Linked DNA regions of Tamandua tetradactyla. The protein of the gene in region 1 purifies or fractionates together with the protein of each later gene. This does not show direct contact. Links are inferred from orthologs where the notes say so. Each region holds a gene or a part of one and is shown on either strand. Other genes may lie near its edges.

Region 1 (7,648 bases):
CTTTACAAAGGAAATTGTAAAAATTTATTGAGATTCATTAAGGAAGGGCTAAATAAATGAAGAGATGTATCATGTTCAAGTACAGGGAGGATTTCAATATCCCTAAGAAAGCAATTGTCCCCAGATTGTTCCATAAATTGAATGCAAATCTATAAAAATCCCAAAGGGGTTTTCAAGGAACTTGAAACTCTGATTCTAAAATTTATATGGAAGAGCAAAATCTCAAAAAAAGCAAAGAAGAAGAAAGTGAGGGATTTGCACTACCAGGTATCAAAATTTATTAAAGTTATATTAACTAAGATCGTATGATATTGGATATATAAATCAATCATTGGACAGAAGTAGAGTCCAGAAACAGACTCATGAATGTATGGCAGCTTAATGTGACACTGCAGCTCTCTTCTAAAAGGAAGGAGTATTTCATAAATGGTGCTAGGGCAATTTGTTATCCATATGGAGAAAAAAGACTGGAAATTGAATACCCCAAAATCAAGTTCAGAAGGATAAAAGACTTAAATGTGAAAGGCAAAACTTTAAACTTTTAGAATAAAATAAAGACTCTCTTTATGATTTGGGGGCAAGGGAGAATTTCTTAAACACACACACACAAACTCGAAACAAAAAGATTTATAAATTCAACTATATTAAAATTGAGACATCTTTTCACTGAGAAAATTAAAAAAACAAACTAGAAACACAAACAAGATGTTTTTAACACATGTAACTGACATAGGATTAGTGTACAGAATATAAAGAACTCCTACCAATCAATAGAAAAAAGCAAATAAGCCAATAGAAAAATTGGCAAATGACCTGAATAGGCATTTTACCATAAAAGAAATACAAATAGTCATTAAACGTATGAAAAGATATTCAACTTAATTTGCTATTTTAAAAACTACAGACTAAGGCCTCTTTGAGATATCATTTTACTGATAGATTATTGGAAAAATTAAGATCACATTGCCCTGGGCTAATGAGAGCAGATCAACAAAAACTCCTACGGGCTGCTGAGCTGCATGTACAATACAACCATCTCTTTGAAAAGCAATTTGGTATTACTTTGTAAAATGAACATTCACATTCCCTATGACTCAGCAATTACACTCCTAGGTAGTTCTATTCTAGTGTTTGTTAAGTTGTAGGAATGCAATATACCAGAAATAGAAAAGCTTTTAAAAGGGAATTTAATAAGTTATAAGTTTACAGTTCTAAGGCCATAAATATGTCCAAAGGCATTCAGAGAAAGATAGCTGAAGGAAGGCTGATCTGGGAAACCATGTGGCTGGCATCTGTCAATTCTTGTTCTAGATTTGTTGCTTCCAGCTTCTGACACCAGTGGTTTCCTCTCTAAATGTCTGTGGTCCTTCACTTAGTTCCTATGGGACACAAATCTGGGTTCTGGCTTACTTAGCATTTCACGGGAAGGTACATGGTGAAGTAAGCTGGGATCTGCCCATGTCTAGGAATCTGCTCTCTCTGTCAGCACTCCAAGCATCTCCAAACATTCATGTTTCTGTCAGCTATGAAGCAACTATACTTCAAGCATCTTAATGTGAGGTTTCTTCAGAATGTTTCCCCTTTTAAAGGATTCGAGTGAACTAATCAAGACCCATCCTGAATGGGTGGAGTCACCTCCATCTAAACAAAAGGCCACACACAATGGGCACGACACATCTCCATGGAGATAATCTAATAAAAAATCCCCACCCTACAGTGTTGTGTCAGTTCGAAAATATTATGTACTCCAGAAAAGCCATGTTTTAATCCTGAGCCAATTTTGTGGAACAGCAGTTTCTTTTAATCCACATTCAGCACCGTAAATTGGGACTTGATTAGATTATCTTCGTGGCGTTGTGGCACGCCCAATTGTGGGTATTAACTTTTGATTAAGATGGAGATGTGACTCCACCCATTGCAGGTGGGTCTTGATTAGTTTAATGGAATCCTTTAAAAGAGGAAACATTTTGGAGAGAGTCAGAAACAACAAAGCTGACAGGAAGGACAGAGAGAACCAACAGAGACTTTGGAGCAGAGCCTAGAGAAATAACAGAAGCCTCAGAGCTGACAGAAACTTCACAGCAGAGCTAACACAGATGCGGACACATGGAGAACAGAGACATGGATGTTTGGAGATGCTTCAAGCCCAGTAGATGTTGATATTAAGCAAGCCAGAGATATTATGAGATATTAAGCAAGCCAGAACCTGGGGAGAGCCAAGGGAAGCCAAGAGATGAAAGCCAGCCCTGGAGAAGTAAAGTGAGGAACCCCCACAGGAACAGAGGCTGAAAGCAACAGAGCCCAAAGCAAGGGACCAGTTGTGCTTTCCCAACTGACAGAGGTGTTGCAGATGCATCAGTCTTTCATGAATTAAGGCATCTTTCCCTGGATGCCTTAATCTGGACATTTCCACAGGCTTAGAACTGTGAACTTGTAATTTACTAAATCCCCCTTTATAAAAGCCATTCCAGATCTCGTAAAATGCATTCTGGCAGCTTGCAAACCAACACAAGTATTGAATCAGGATTAAAAGAAACAGCTGGGGCAGGCTGAGTGGCTCAGCAGGCAGAGCTCTCGTCTGCCATTCCGGAGACTGGGTTCGATTCCCCGTACCTGCCCCCCAGCCACACTAAGATTGGATCAGGAAATAAGACATGGCTTTTTTCTGGGATACATAGGTGGATCTTGATTAGTTTAATGGAATCCTTTAAATAGTTTCAAACCAGCGCACAATAGTATTTTTTCCAACATTTGAGAGGTGAATATTGTTTGTTTTATGAATCTTTTGTTTCACATATGTGTGTTCAATGGTAGAAGACATTAACTGTATTTCCTGTATCACAAGTAGTGGTCAAAATGTTTCAAAACCACTCACTAAATTCTTGCACGAGTGTACCAGGAGAATGTGTAAGAATGTTCATAACATCACTTTTCATAATAACAAAAAAACTGGGAACAGCCCAAATATCCAATAGGATTGTAAATTTTTTGTATATTCACAGAATGCAACACTACAAAATAATGAAAATGCCTAAATGAGTCATGAACATTTCCTTAAGCAAAAAAAGACCACAAAGACCTACATTTTATAAAGCACGAAAAGCAAAATTGAACAATATTTCTTTAGGTATAGAAACATGACAAGGGAATGATAAACACAAATTAATAAATGATAAAAATTGGGAATATATTTGGCAAGGAAAGGAAACGGGGAAATGTAATGATAGACACAGATATTGACAGTGTTCTAATAGTAGGTGGATTCATGGGTATTCATTTTATTAATAGGCAACATAAATTTATGCTATATATAGTGTTTTGTTCATGTATAAGTCACGTATTTATTTAAATGCTTAAAAATAAAATGCAGTTCTCCTCTCTCACGGCACAGTAGTGACTCACACTCCCATACAAAAACTGGATTTCCTGAGACGCAGGTTAAGAAGCACAAGGGGAAATGTCAACCTGCCAAAGGTCAACACGTATCATTTCGTGTAAGCATACCTCTTTCAAAATCTCAGCTTCTTGAGGCAAAATACATGATCACGTAACACTACCTTACGCGTCTAAATTAAACTACTTTTCTTGGGCTTGTCAGTAACAGAAAAAAAAATTACACTCAAGAAAAGCCTTTTTGCCAGTGCTTTTACACCAGGTACATCCGAATCTCAGTCATGTCAACCACAATACTGATCTAGGAACGGGCTGTTTAGTCCGTCCTGAGCTAATAACTGTGGGAAGAGTAATTAATCAGAGCCATCCCTCCCAAGTATTAATTCAGAACTGGAATAAACTTTCATTGTTATCCTAGTTTCCTTTAAATTATCTTGGGGCAGCTCATCCAAACTTCTCATTGAGTGAACAACTGCTTTCTGAGAAATGGCTTACAAGAAAAAACTGTTTTTTTTTGTAAAAAGCAGTTGCGCGGATGGAAAGAGACGCAGAAAAGAAAACGGAAAACAAACCTTCCAGAAGAAAGGGGTTGTAGAAACTCAAAAAAGGGGGGGGGGGGGGGCAAATTTTCCATACTAAAATTTCCAAAAGAATATACAAGATTCCTGGGTCGCGACAAAACTTTCAAGGGCTCTTTTTCACTGTAATCACAGTAAGGAAAATCAACTCAGAAAGTTCACGTATTTAAAAAAGACAATAAATCGGGCCATTCCTCTTCAGCGAAAATCTACCGCAAAGATGGCGGTAGGACGAAGACCCTCTTGCCCCCGCAGCCGCGGCTCGCCTTACATTTCCCACAATCCCCTCCGCGAAGCCCTGGTCCCTGAAACCTTCCTGGCCAATCTGCGGCCACTGCGCACGCTCGGGAGCGACGTCAACGTGCGCTCCCGGAGCCCAGCGGAGCTGGCTGGAGAGGCCCTGCCAGCTTCCGCCGCCGCGTCGCTTCGGGGCTCGGGCGGCGGGTTCGCGCTGCCTCGGCCACCGTGGGGTAGCCCGGGATCGCGGGGCCTGGCAGGCGGCGCGCGGCGGCGCGGCCATGGGACTGCGGCGGGGTCGGTGACAGCAGGGAACCGAGAGGCCCGGGCCCTGAGCGCGTCTCCTCCCGGGGGCCTCGCCCTCCTGCTCGCGGGGCCGGGGCTCCTGCTGCCGTTGCTGGCGCTGCTGCTGGTGGCGGCGGCGGCCAGGATCATGTCGGGCCGCCGCTGTGCCGGTGGGGGCGCGGCCTGCTCGGGCGTGGCGGCTGAGGCCGTAGAGCCGGCTGCTCGCGAGTTGTTCGAGGCGTGCCGCAACGGGGACGTGGAACGAGTCAAGAGGTTGGTGACGCCCGAAAAGGTGAACAGCCGTGACACGGCGGGCAGGAAGTCCACCCCGCTCCACTTCGCCGCAGGTAACCGAGGCCAGCGTTCTCTCACTTCGCTCGGGACCCCACCTGCGCTTCCGCCCGTGGCTCGGGGCTCTCAGGCCATTAAACCGGACAACCAGTGCTCTTCTGCTCCCAGTCTTTTCTCCTAAAGACATCTGTCCTGGAGCTCTCGCTCTCGTCGAGTGGGAATTAAGGAAATTGAGGGTAGAAGACGAGCGTGTCGCACTCACTGGAAGTTCTTTTGTTTTGTTTTGCTTTGTTTGGTTTTACAGTATCAACAATACCTGTTCCAACTTCCGGTCTTGTTGCCCTAAAAGGCCCTACACACAAAAAAGAGTAAGAGTAGTATATCTTGTGATTTGAAAGGCAAGTTATCTCCAAAAGCTGTCGTTTTTTTCTGATAAGTTCCAGTATAATTTATCAATCCTCTGGGTTAAACTCCTAAGGACGTTGTAAAATCAAGGATATAATTTAGGGCGTAATATCTTTATTGGCCATTGACACATTGGTATTATTGGTTTATCAGAATAGCCAATCATTAGCAAGGTTCTGGAGAGACTAGAACTGAGAACAGGCAAGTTTTGGGGAACTGAGATTTAATTTAGGCTGGGAGGAAAGTAGAATGAGAGGAAAGATGGTGCAGGTACTTTAGCTTGGGTCTGGAATTTAGGTTGGAACTAACCTTACTCCATTCTCAGATTTGGGTCGTTTGCATTACTTTCTTGTAGTATTTTTTATTAGGTTCACTTTACATCTAAGCATATTAAATTTAATTGAAGAATTTGAAAGAACCAGTGTGAGGACACTCAGATTATTTCCGAATAGCATTTATACTTTTCGCTTTGAAGAAAGATTGTGCCTATATCTAAACCTCAAGTGAGCCAAGTGTGAGTGAAAGTGGGAGTAGGTTCTCATACCTCTGATAATCCTAATTTTTTTTTTATTTCTTGTATTACATGATTGATTAAGATGATATTTTTAAAAAGCAGAAGGATACGTTTTTGAGCAGTCCCATTTTGGGTTACAGGCGTTGCTTTTACACTTTGTACCACTTAAAAATTTGTTTACTTTAACCTGGTCTCATTTTAAAATGTGAATAATATCAGGAGGTATGTGCTTTCTTGATCAGTTGCACTTTTGTTGGCTTCCCTTTGTAAAGTCTCTTTGAGAGGGAAGGTTTGATGGACTGTTCTGTTGGCGCTATACCAGCAATAACTGATGGGCAATGGACAGGAAAAGGAGAAAAGTACTAAAATCAAATCTCACTTCTTTAGTCATTTTTCCTGAAATTTTGGTGGTCACCACTGCCTTAACTCAGCTAATTTAACTGTCCTGTTTGACCGTGTAATCAACATTTAAATGACTGATTTGGCAAACTGTCAGGACCAGCTGGTACATAATCCAAAGAATAATGTTACCTAGATTGTGTACACTTGATCTGTTGGATAAAAATAACCAAGGAAGATCTTGGTTGCTTCCTTTCAAGAATTTGGTGCATTAATGAGTTCATATCTGAAAATAGTAATATTTAGAGGTTAAAGGTTATGGGATTAGCATCTTATTGACTTTGCTCCCCACCCACCCCCAGCTCTGTCCCAGTATTTCAAGGCACCTTTTCCATATATTTCATGTTGCTCAGATTGAAATGGAAAACATAATATTTAAGAACCTTTAGAACCAACCCACCCCTACAGTTTATGCAAATTATCAAGCACAGGTTATAAGGTTGATAAATTAAAAATTATTAAGGGGTCTACACATTCAACCAGAAGCATTAAAAGTCCTGCTTTTAAGCCCATGTGTATGAGACTTTTTTTAAGAACAGTTTTGTAAATTCATTCTAAATTAATTGGATTAATGAGAGAGAACCTGTTTTCCTAATTTTTAAGTAAGTGCATCCAGCTGCATTTTTCTCTTACTGTACCAAAAATACATTTTATAATCTCATTTGTAATTATCAGTCATGTCAGTGTGTAAGCAATTTATTGTGTTTGTATGTATAAAATATGTTTTGAAAAAGATTATGCTTTTTTAATTTTTTAGCCATTCAAAGTTTGGAGGTTTTATTGGTGGGGGGGCATGCTTTTGGTTGTTTTGTTTTGATTCCCAGGAAACATTAGGAGTGTGAGATTTTTGCAGACCACAGAAGATGAGTCATGATAAAAAAACAGTTTAGAAAAAATTTGACCTGTTTCATCTAAAATATTTAGTTCGATTAAAAGAATAATCAGTTCTATTATTAATAGGATTAAGTTCTAGTAATGAAAAAGGTCATCAACATAAAAATTAATAGGGATTTTTCTTCCATTGGTTGTTTTTTGTAATTGAACCAGATTATACACTTTTCTTCTAGATAAGTATGATTTGAGAAATCATTTGTTATGAGAAAAATTAATCTGAAAATTGTTTCTTCTTCAGTCCACCCCCACCCCATCCTTACTTACAGGCTAAGAACAATTTTTTTTATAGATCACAAAACTTGTAGAGGCAAATTGATGGTAGGGAGGCTGCAGTTCTAATGTTGCTAAAAGCAGAAGCATCTTATGTTCTTTACGTCGTAATCCCCAAGAAAACAGCAGATTTCAGTGAAGGAAACTGCTTCTCTGAATCTATTTCTGAAAAATAAAGAAGAGATGACAGAAACTTTGAAAGAAAGTCATCTTGATGTCCGTTAGCAAATAAACACATAGCATTCCCTAAAATTTAAGAACTCGGAAGGGGTTGGTGGTAGTAAGCATTCCATGGCTTGAGAATTTTAAATATTCTTCAGGGGGTGGAGAAATATTATTCAGTAGAAAAAAATGTAAAATCTTGTATTAGGTTCAAGAAATT
Region 2 (7,341 bases), on another chromosome or scaffold:
AACTTGGACTTCCACTTACCAAAGCTGACTTGGCTACAGCTCCTGCTAGTGTCCAATCTGCCAGAGCAGAGACCCACACTCATCCTCCGATATGGCACCATTCCCTGAGGTGACCAGCCAACTATATGGTGGCAGGTTGAATACATTGGACCACTCCCTTCATGGAAGGGGCAGCGATTTGTTCTAACTGGAATAGACACATACTCTGGATATGGGTTTGCTTTCCCTGCATGCAATGCTTCTGTCAAAACTACCATCTATGGGCTTACAGAATGCCTTATCTATCATCACGGTATTCCACATAGCATTGTTTCTGATCAAGGAACACACTTCACAGCAAATGAAGTGTGGGAATGGGCACATGTTCATAGAATTCTCTGGTCTTACCATGTTCTCCATCATCCAGAAGCAGCTGAATTGACAGAATGGTGGAATGGCCTTTTGAAATCTCAATTACAGTGCCAACTAGGTGGCAATACCTTGAAGGGCTGGGGTAATGATCTCCAGGAAGCTGTATATGCTCTGAATCAGCATCCCCTGTATGGTGCTGTTTCTCCCATAGCCAGGATCCATGGGTCCAGGAACCAAGGGGTGGAAATGGGTGTGGTACCACTCACTGTTATCCTTAATGATCCACTAGGTAAATTTTTGCTTCCTGCCCCTGTGACCCTGAACTCTGTTGGTCTATAGGTTTTAGTTGCAAAATGGGATGTGTTTCCACCAGAAGAAACAACAATGATTACATTGAATTGGAATCTAAGACTGTCACCTAGTCACTTTGGGCTACTCATGCCCTTGGTTCAACAAGCCAAGAAGGGGATTACATTATTGACTGGGGTGATTGACCCTGACTATCAGGGGGAAATAGGACTGCAACTACATAGTGGAGGTAAAGAAGAGTCTTCTTGGAATATAGGAGATCCCCTAGGGCGTCTTTTAGTACTACCATGCCCTGTAATTAAAATCAATGGAAAACTGCAACAACCCAATCCAGGCAGGACTACCAAGGGGTCTGAAACTTCAGGAATGAAGGTTTGGGTCACCCCACCAGGCAAAGAACTACGGCCAGCTGAAGTGCTTGCTGAGGGTAAAGGGAACATGGAATGGGTAGTTGAAGAAGGTAGTGATAAATATGAAGTACAATCACATGATCAGTTACAGAAACAAGGACTGTAATGCTGTTTTGTTCATGTTGTAAGATATCAAGTTTAAGAATAAATATTACCCAAGGACTTGCACCTTATTCTGGAGAGATTTAATGTATTTCCAGTTATATGTAGGACAGTTGAATATTGTTAGGTGAAAGAAAAAACATGTGTTTTATTGTTTTTTTTTATTTAGAAATTAGGTATGCTTTAAGGTGATACATATAGCTGCCAAGTTGACAAGGGGTGGACTGTCATGGTCAGGTTCATGTGTCAATCTGGCCAAGTTGTGGTACCTGTTTGTCTGGTTGGACAAGTGTTGGCTTTTCTGTTGTGATGAGGACATTTCATAGAATTAAATCATGATCACGTACCTGTATCCACAGCTGATTCCATTTGTAATCAGCCAAGGGGAGTGTCTTCTGCAATGAGTGATACTTAATCTAATCACTGGAAGCCTTTTAAGGATGATTCAGAGGAGACAGGCTTTCTTTCTGCTTTAGCCAGTGAGCTTCTCCTGTGTTCATCCAGACCCTCCATTGGAATCATCAGCTTCACAGCCTGCCCCTGTGGAGAACTCTGCATTCCCACAGTTACATGAGACATTTTTATAAATTTTATATTTGCAAGTGTTTCCTGTTGATTCTGTTTCTCTGGAGAACCCTAACTAATACACACCTCTAGCAATATTGGGAGCTTCTGTCATGGATTATCCAGAAATAGAAACTAATCACTATCTTCCATTTAGGTGACTGATTGGATAGGGTGTATATTGTTCGATAGATTTAATTATTCTTTTTATATGTGGTTGGTGACAAATGCCAAGAAGTTCACTTTTTATTTATATATTATTCAATATATAAATACGTATATGTGCATATATACACATACATACATGCAGATGTGCATGTGCATTCATTCAATGCGTATTTACAGAGGGCCTCTCCTAAACGTGTCAGACACTGTTCGCAGCTGTTGGAATACAAAATAGAACACAAATTTCTGCTCTCTGAGATTTACATTCCAGAGTGGAGAGACACACACTAAAGATGAATAAGTAAAATAACTTATTCATTACATGGTGAGAGGTATTAGAGAGAAAAAGTAAGAAGGGGAAATGGAAAATGGGAAATATTGGAAATGGGGAATATTGCGATTTAAAATAGGGTGGCAGTGGGGTGCACGGGTGGTTCAGTGGTAGAATGCTGGCCTTTCACGTGGGAGACCTGGGTTTGATTCCTGAACCATGCACCTAAAAAAAAAAAAAAGAAGAAGAAGAAGAAAATAGGGTGGCAGTGGAGGACTGGCTGTAAAGGTGACATTTGAGCAATCTATTTTGGGCAAGAGTTTTCTTAGCAGAGGAAATAGCAACTGGAAGGACTTTTGAGGTTGGGAGCTTGTGCAGCCATCTAAGAAGTGAAGTGAACACTCTGCAAGGTCATGGGCGTGATATGATCTGACTGTCTTTCAAATACCTTTACTTTGGGTTCTTTCTTGAAGATAGATTCAAAGGAGAGCAAAGAGCAGGAAGACCAGTTCCTGGGCTTTGCAATAATGCAAACAACAGCTGATGTCATTGTAGGAGAGGCTGTAAGTGGTCGGGTATGTATGTGCTCTGAAGGAAAGGCCAACAGATTATAACTGAATGTGGAACATAAGAGAACGAAAGGAAGTAAAGACGTGTTTGGATAAGAAAGGACAGAGCCATTCACTGAGGTGGCAAAGACTGTGAGTGTCGGTATGAATGAGATGGGCAGAAGCCAGAGGGACCCAGAAACACCTGTGTTCTGATCCCATCTCTTTCTCTCACAAAATACATGAGCAAGTCATTTAACCTGTTTTATCTGTTCCTCCAGTTGGTATAATGAAAAGTTGGACCAGGTGAACTCTTTTAGTCCCTGTCTAGATTCAAGCCCCAGTCTACGACTTTTGACTGTTTTCCTCCGTGCCTGTATCCGAAACGTTGGAATAACAGTAGCACCTATCTTGTGGCTTATGGTGACATTAAGCGAGTTTATATGTGTAAAGCACTGAGAACACTGGTTGGTACATTGTAAATAAAGGTGAATATTGTCTCTTTAAGCTTCAATTTATGAATATATATGAAATGTTTTGCTATTATCTGTTCATGGGCTGTGTAAGATAGAGGGGTAAAACCTGATGGCTGAGGAAAGGATAAGGATACGGAATAAAGCTTCAAGTTGAAGGACATATATACACTTCAATATTCCTAAAATTATAGTTTAGAAGAAAAACAGTTTTGCTTATGAGAGCAAACATCATTAAACAAGATAGATGAACCCTTTAAGATACTGGTTACATAGTAATGCCATGAGCAAGGACCCGGAAATACATGGACTTCAGAGAAACAAAAGAAAACGTACACACTTCTACATTGGCAAGGACACCGAGCTCTCCCAAGCCAGAATAAAAGAGCTAATGACATCCCCAACGTCGTATCACTGCAAGTAAGGAGGCTGCCATGGAATGTAGAAATATATACTCTTTTATGGATTAAAACGCGTTCCCTCCCACCCTCTTCATTTTACTATAAATTTAAAAATTTATTCAGTTCCGAAAAAGGCACTGCATATGCTAAAACGAAATGGAGACTACTGCCAGAACGATGATATTTAAAACCACAGCGCGCAACCCAAACGCTGCCTCTCCTCTAACTTCAGATTCTTAAGCTGATAAATCCTTCCTCCAGCTGCCTATGCCCTTTTCTATTGCGCATAATGGGTCCCAACAGAAGGGAAGGTCCTTTTTTTCCCTCTCGATTAAACTGTTGAGCGCTTCGTAGGGTGAATAAACCGTAGCGTCCGAGAAACCCGGTTTTTACTGGAAAGAGAACGCGCAGGGCTTTCCCCGAGGGCTCTCGACCACGAAACCCAAGGCCTCTGGGCCCTGAACGGCTTTCCGAGCAGCTGGACCTGCAGGCCCTCCCGTCTCATTTCCTCCACTCTGACTCTCCCTCCAGTGCCAGCACGTCTCTTCCGAACCTCCGGCACCCAAAGACTAGTAAAAGGCAATGGAAAGCGGTGAGAAGTCCGCAGACAGCAAAAGTGCGGGTCCCCAGAAAAGGCAGGGACGGGGCGCTGGCGGCGCGGCGCCGCTTCCGCCCGTGCGCGGCCCCACCCCCAGCGCGGCCCCGCCCCGCTCCCGCGGCGCGCCGGGCGGTCACGTGACGTCCGCGCGCGTTCCCGGCCGCTGCGGGTTCCGAGGCCGAGGAGAAAAGACTGCGAAGTGATCGCGGCCGTGGCGGGAGAGGTGGGAGTCGGGGCGAAGCCCTGGTGGGGGGCAGGGTGGGAACAGCCCACTCCGGGTGCCTCGTGCGGGGAGAGCCGGCCGGCCCGCGCCGTGCCCTCAGCCGTGCCGCGCCGCCGCGGCCCTGCGTTCGCGGCCCGAGAGGGGTGGCGGCGGGTCGGGCCGGGGCGTACACGGACGTCCTTGGCCGGCGCGGCGCGGAGGCGGCGCGGGACAGCTCCACGCTCGCCGCGCCCCCGCGCAGGCTGCTGTCGCAGGCCTGGATACTGTGGCGGGCTCTCCGTGGCCCGCGGCGGCCGGGAACCGGCCTCGGCGGGGTGCGCGAGGTGGAGCCGCGGCCATTGCTGCGCGGCCTGTCCCGCCGGGCCCGCGTCCTGGCCGTGGGGGTCTGCGGGCCCTTCTCGCCCTCGGCGGTGGCGTCGGGCCTCCAGCGGGGCCTCCTGGCCCGAGGTTGAGGGGCGGCGGTGGTTTCGGGGTACCCGGCTCCTGGTTTCCCATGCAGTCATGCCTTTTGGACCTCGGGTCAGGCGAGGCCCGCCGCGCTGCCTCTGCCTCGGATGGATTTGGTCGTTTTCCGGGTGTCTGGCTGTCTCCTCCTCCCTCTCCTCCTTCTCGATCCCTGGGTCTTGTCCGCGAGGGCGACAGCCATCCGTCCGCCATGGCCTCGTCACCCCCGGCGCTGCGTGTTCCTCGGTTTGACGGTTGTGGAAGCGTCGGGACACTGGCCGGGTCGCCGGGCCGCTGGGTCCCGGCTGCGGGGTGCGGACTCCCTCCTCGGCCCGGTCCCCGCCGACGGCACGGGTCTCCGTGCTGGTCCTGTTGGGTTTTCTGGCCGCAAAGGGCTTTTGAGAGTGTGGAGACGAGCAGCCCTGCCCGCACGGCCGCGGGACTGAGTTGACCCACGTCTGGCCCGCTGCGGTTCCCCTCCCGGTTAGCCGTTCTCGTATTGGGTGCCAGTTCTCTTCCCGAAGTGTCGTTTTAGCGAGTGCTTCTAACTCAAGTTTTCAAAGTACGTGTATTTGAAGTGATATTTTTGTCGTGTTGGAATACTGAACTGAAGGGAGAAGAAAGCTGAGAAATGCTAGGAAATGCTTTTTTTTTTTTATATTTGTAAGTGATGTTTCAAGTGTTTGGCACCCCCCACTCCCCCGTGTGTGGGTACTGTTTAAATGGGATGTGAAAGTATAACATTGGCATTGAAAGCAGTACAGAATTACAGAATTAGAAGACTTAAGGCTGTTTTTTTATTTTTTAATAAATCAATCTATATTTAGATTTAAACGTAGCGTATAGAACCAGTGAAGAAGAAGACCCTCGTGGCACAAGATTGTTGATGTTTTTAGGAACCGCAAAAATTGAGTAAATACAAATACTCTGAACACACGAAAATAGGTCAAGGAAATCTGATTTTGGAGAGAACCGGAAGAGTGACTGCCACACTAAAAATAGAGGTTGGTTGTCTTTCTTCGGACATTGTATATCTTAAATTGGAGCATTTTGTCAGGCATCAGAATTGGACTTAGAATTTATGTCTCAAATGGGCCAGTGTAAGTTGTGGGCAAATGGAAAATTTTGAAGTTTTTTTGTTATTTTATGGTTATTAAGAGTTTGATAGGATTATGGTCGCCAGGGAAACTGTTTCTCCAAATAACTGGTCATTGGACAAGAGGAAGAAAAGGAATGACATTTTCTCTTTTGGGGGATATGTCAACTGCTAAATCTTTTTGTTTCAGTTTCGACCAACTTAAATTGTCAGAAGACACTTTTTTTTTTTTAAAGCATCAAGAAAATGATTTCTTGACTTAGTAGAAATAAAGGATAGAATTAAATCTTTTCTTTGTTTCATAACACTACACTCATCTGTTTTAGAAACATTTACGTACTGGCCATACACTACATGAAACTCCTGATGTACCGTTAGTTGGGACAATGTTTTACTGTGGCGAACCTTTTCGTTTTCCTGTTTGGTTTTTGTTTGTGACTAAGAAACTTGAATTTGTGAAATGATGGTTTGGATTAGGAACAATCTTTGGGTATGGAACCATCTTATTAACTGACACTGGGGTTACAATCACCCGTGCTTGTTTATGGACTGTATTTAGTGTTCATGGCTCAGTGCCTTTTGGGTTAATTAAAACCAAACCTTTTGTTAAATGTCTGTTAATTAGTGTTACAGAATTAATAGAGTGTAGAAACTTAGGCTTTGGGAGTTAAGACTTGACCAAGGTCGCACGAATAGGACAGAGCCTAGCCTTTCTTATTTACCAAATGGTGCCAGCTGTAAAAACACTGCTGTGTTTGATATGATTTTAAAATATTTATTTATTCCTATTTACTGCTAATGTTTTATTAAAATTAAAGGGCTGCAGTTTTTTTTTTTAAGGGAAATTTAGGGAAGATTGTTAAAGGTTGTGGATTATCATACAGTAATTTTTTTGAGAAGTGGTAAGTGCTAAAATAGTTCTCTAAAGGGGGCCCATATAACTGAAATGAGTTTTGACTGAGAGGTCTGTTTCCAAGTATGGCCTCTGCTTTCAGTTTTTAAGAGAACATAATAGGGAAAGGTAAAAATGGAAACATTAGGGTATTTAGTTACGTCTATCAATTTGGAACTCCTCAAGAAACTTAAGATGCATCTGCTAAATAACATCTGATTTCTCTACTTCTTTTTCTGGTCTTTTTGCAATTATTACTGTTTTTATTTTGAGTTAGTATACCCAAGATTGGAAGGTTTGAAGTATTTTTCCTATCTCTCGTTTAAAACTTTTAAATAGAACATTCCCTGTTTTGTGTATTTTGAATAAATAAAGGGTAAAAACTATACTAGTAAAATTAGCTGTTAGCAATTGGAGAAATTAAGGAACCCTTCAAATACTAAAAAAATTCTATATTTTAACTGTTAATGTGCTCATCTTTCCCATCTGATTAG

What was found.
Region 2: the proteins of TNKS2 (region 1) and RNF146 purify together in Homo sapiens (co-immunoprecipitation; 3 studies listed by BioGRID and IntAct, with this or other methods). This does not show direct contact. The link is inferred for Tamandua tetradactyla from reciprocal best matches to the Homo sapiens genes TNKS2 and RNF146.

Annotation. Positions count from the first base shown.
Region 1 is NC_135339.1:53,497,633-53,505,280, reverse strand, and holds the start of TNKS2 (poly [ADP-ribose] polymerase tankyrase-2), read left to right. Parts: upstream 1-4,626; 5' UTR 4,627-4,641; coding exon 4,642-4,840; intron 4,841-7,648. UniProt on the Homo sapiens protein: Poly-ADP-ribosyltransferase involved in various processes such as Wnt signaling pathway, telomere length and vesicle trafficking.
Region 2 is NC_135331.1:188,536,951-188,544,291, forward strand, and holds the start of RNF146 (E3 ubiquitin-protein ligase RNF146), read left to right. Parts: upstream 1-4,307; 5' UTR 4,308-4,415; intron 4,416-5,771; exon of another isoform or gene 5,772-5,863; intron 5,864-7,341. UniProt on the Homo sapiens protein: E3 ubiquitin-protein ligase that specifically binds poly-ADP-ribosylated (PARsylated) proteins and mediates their ubiquitination and subsequent degradation. May regulate many important biological processes, such as cell survival and DNA damage response.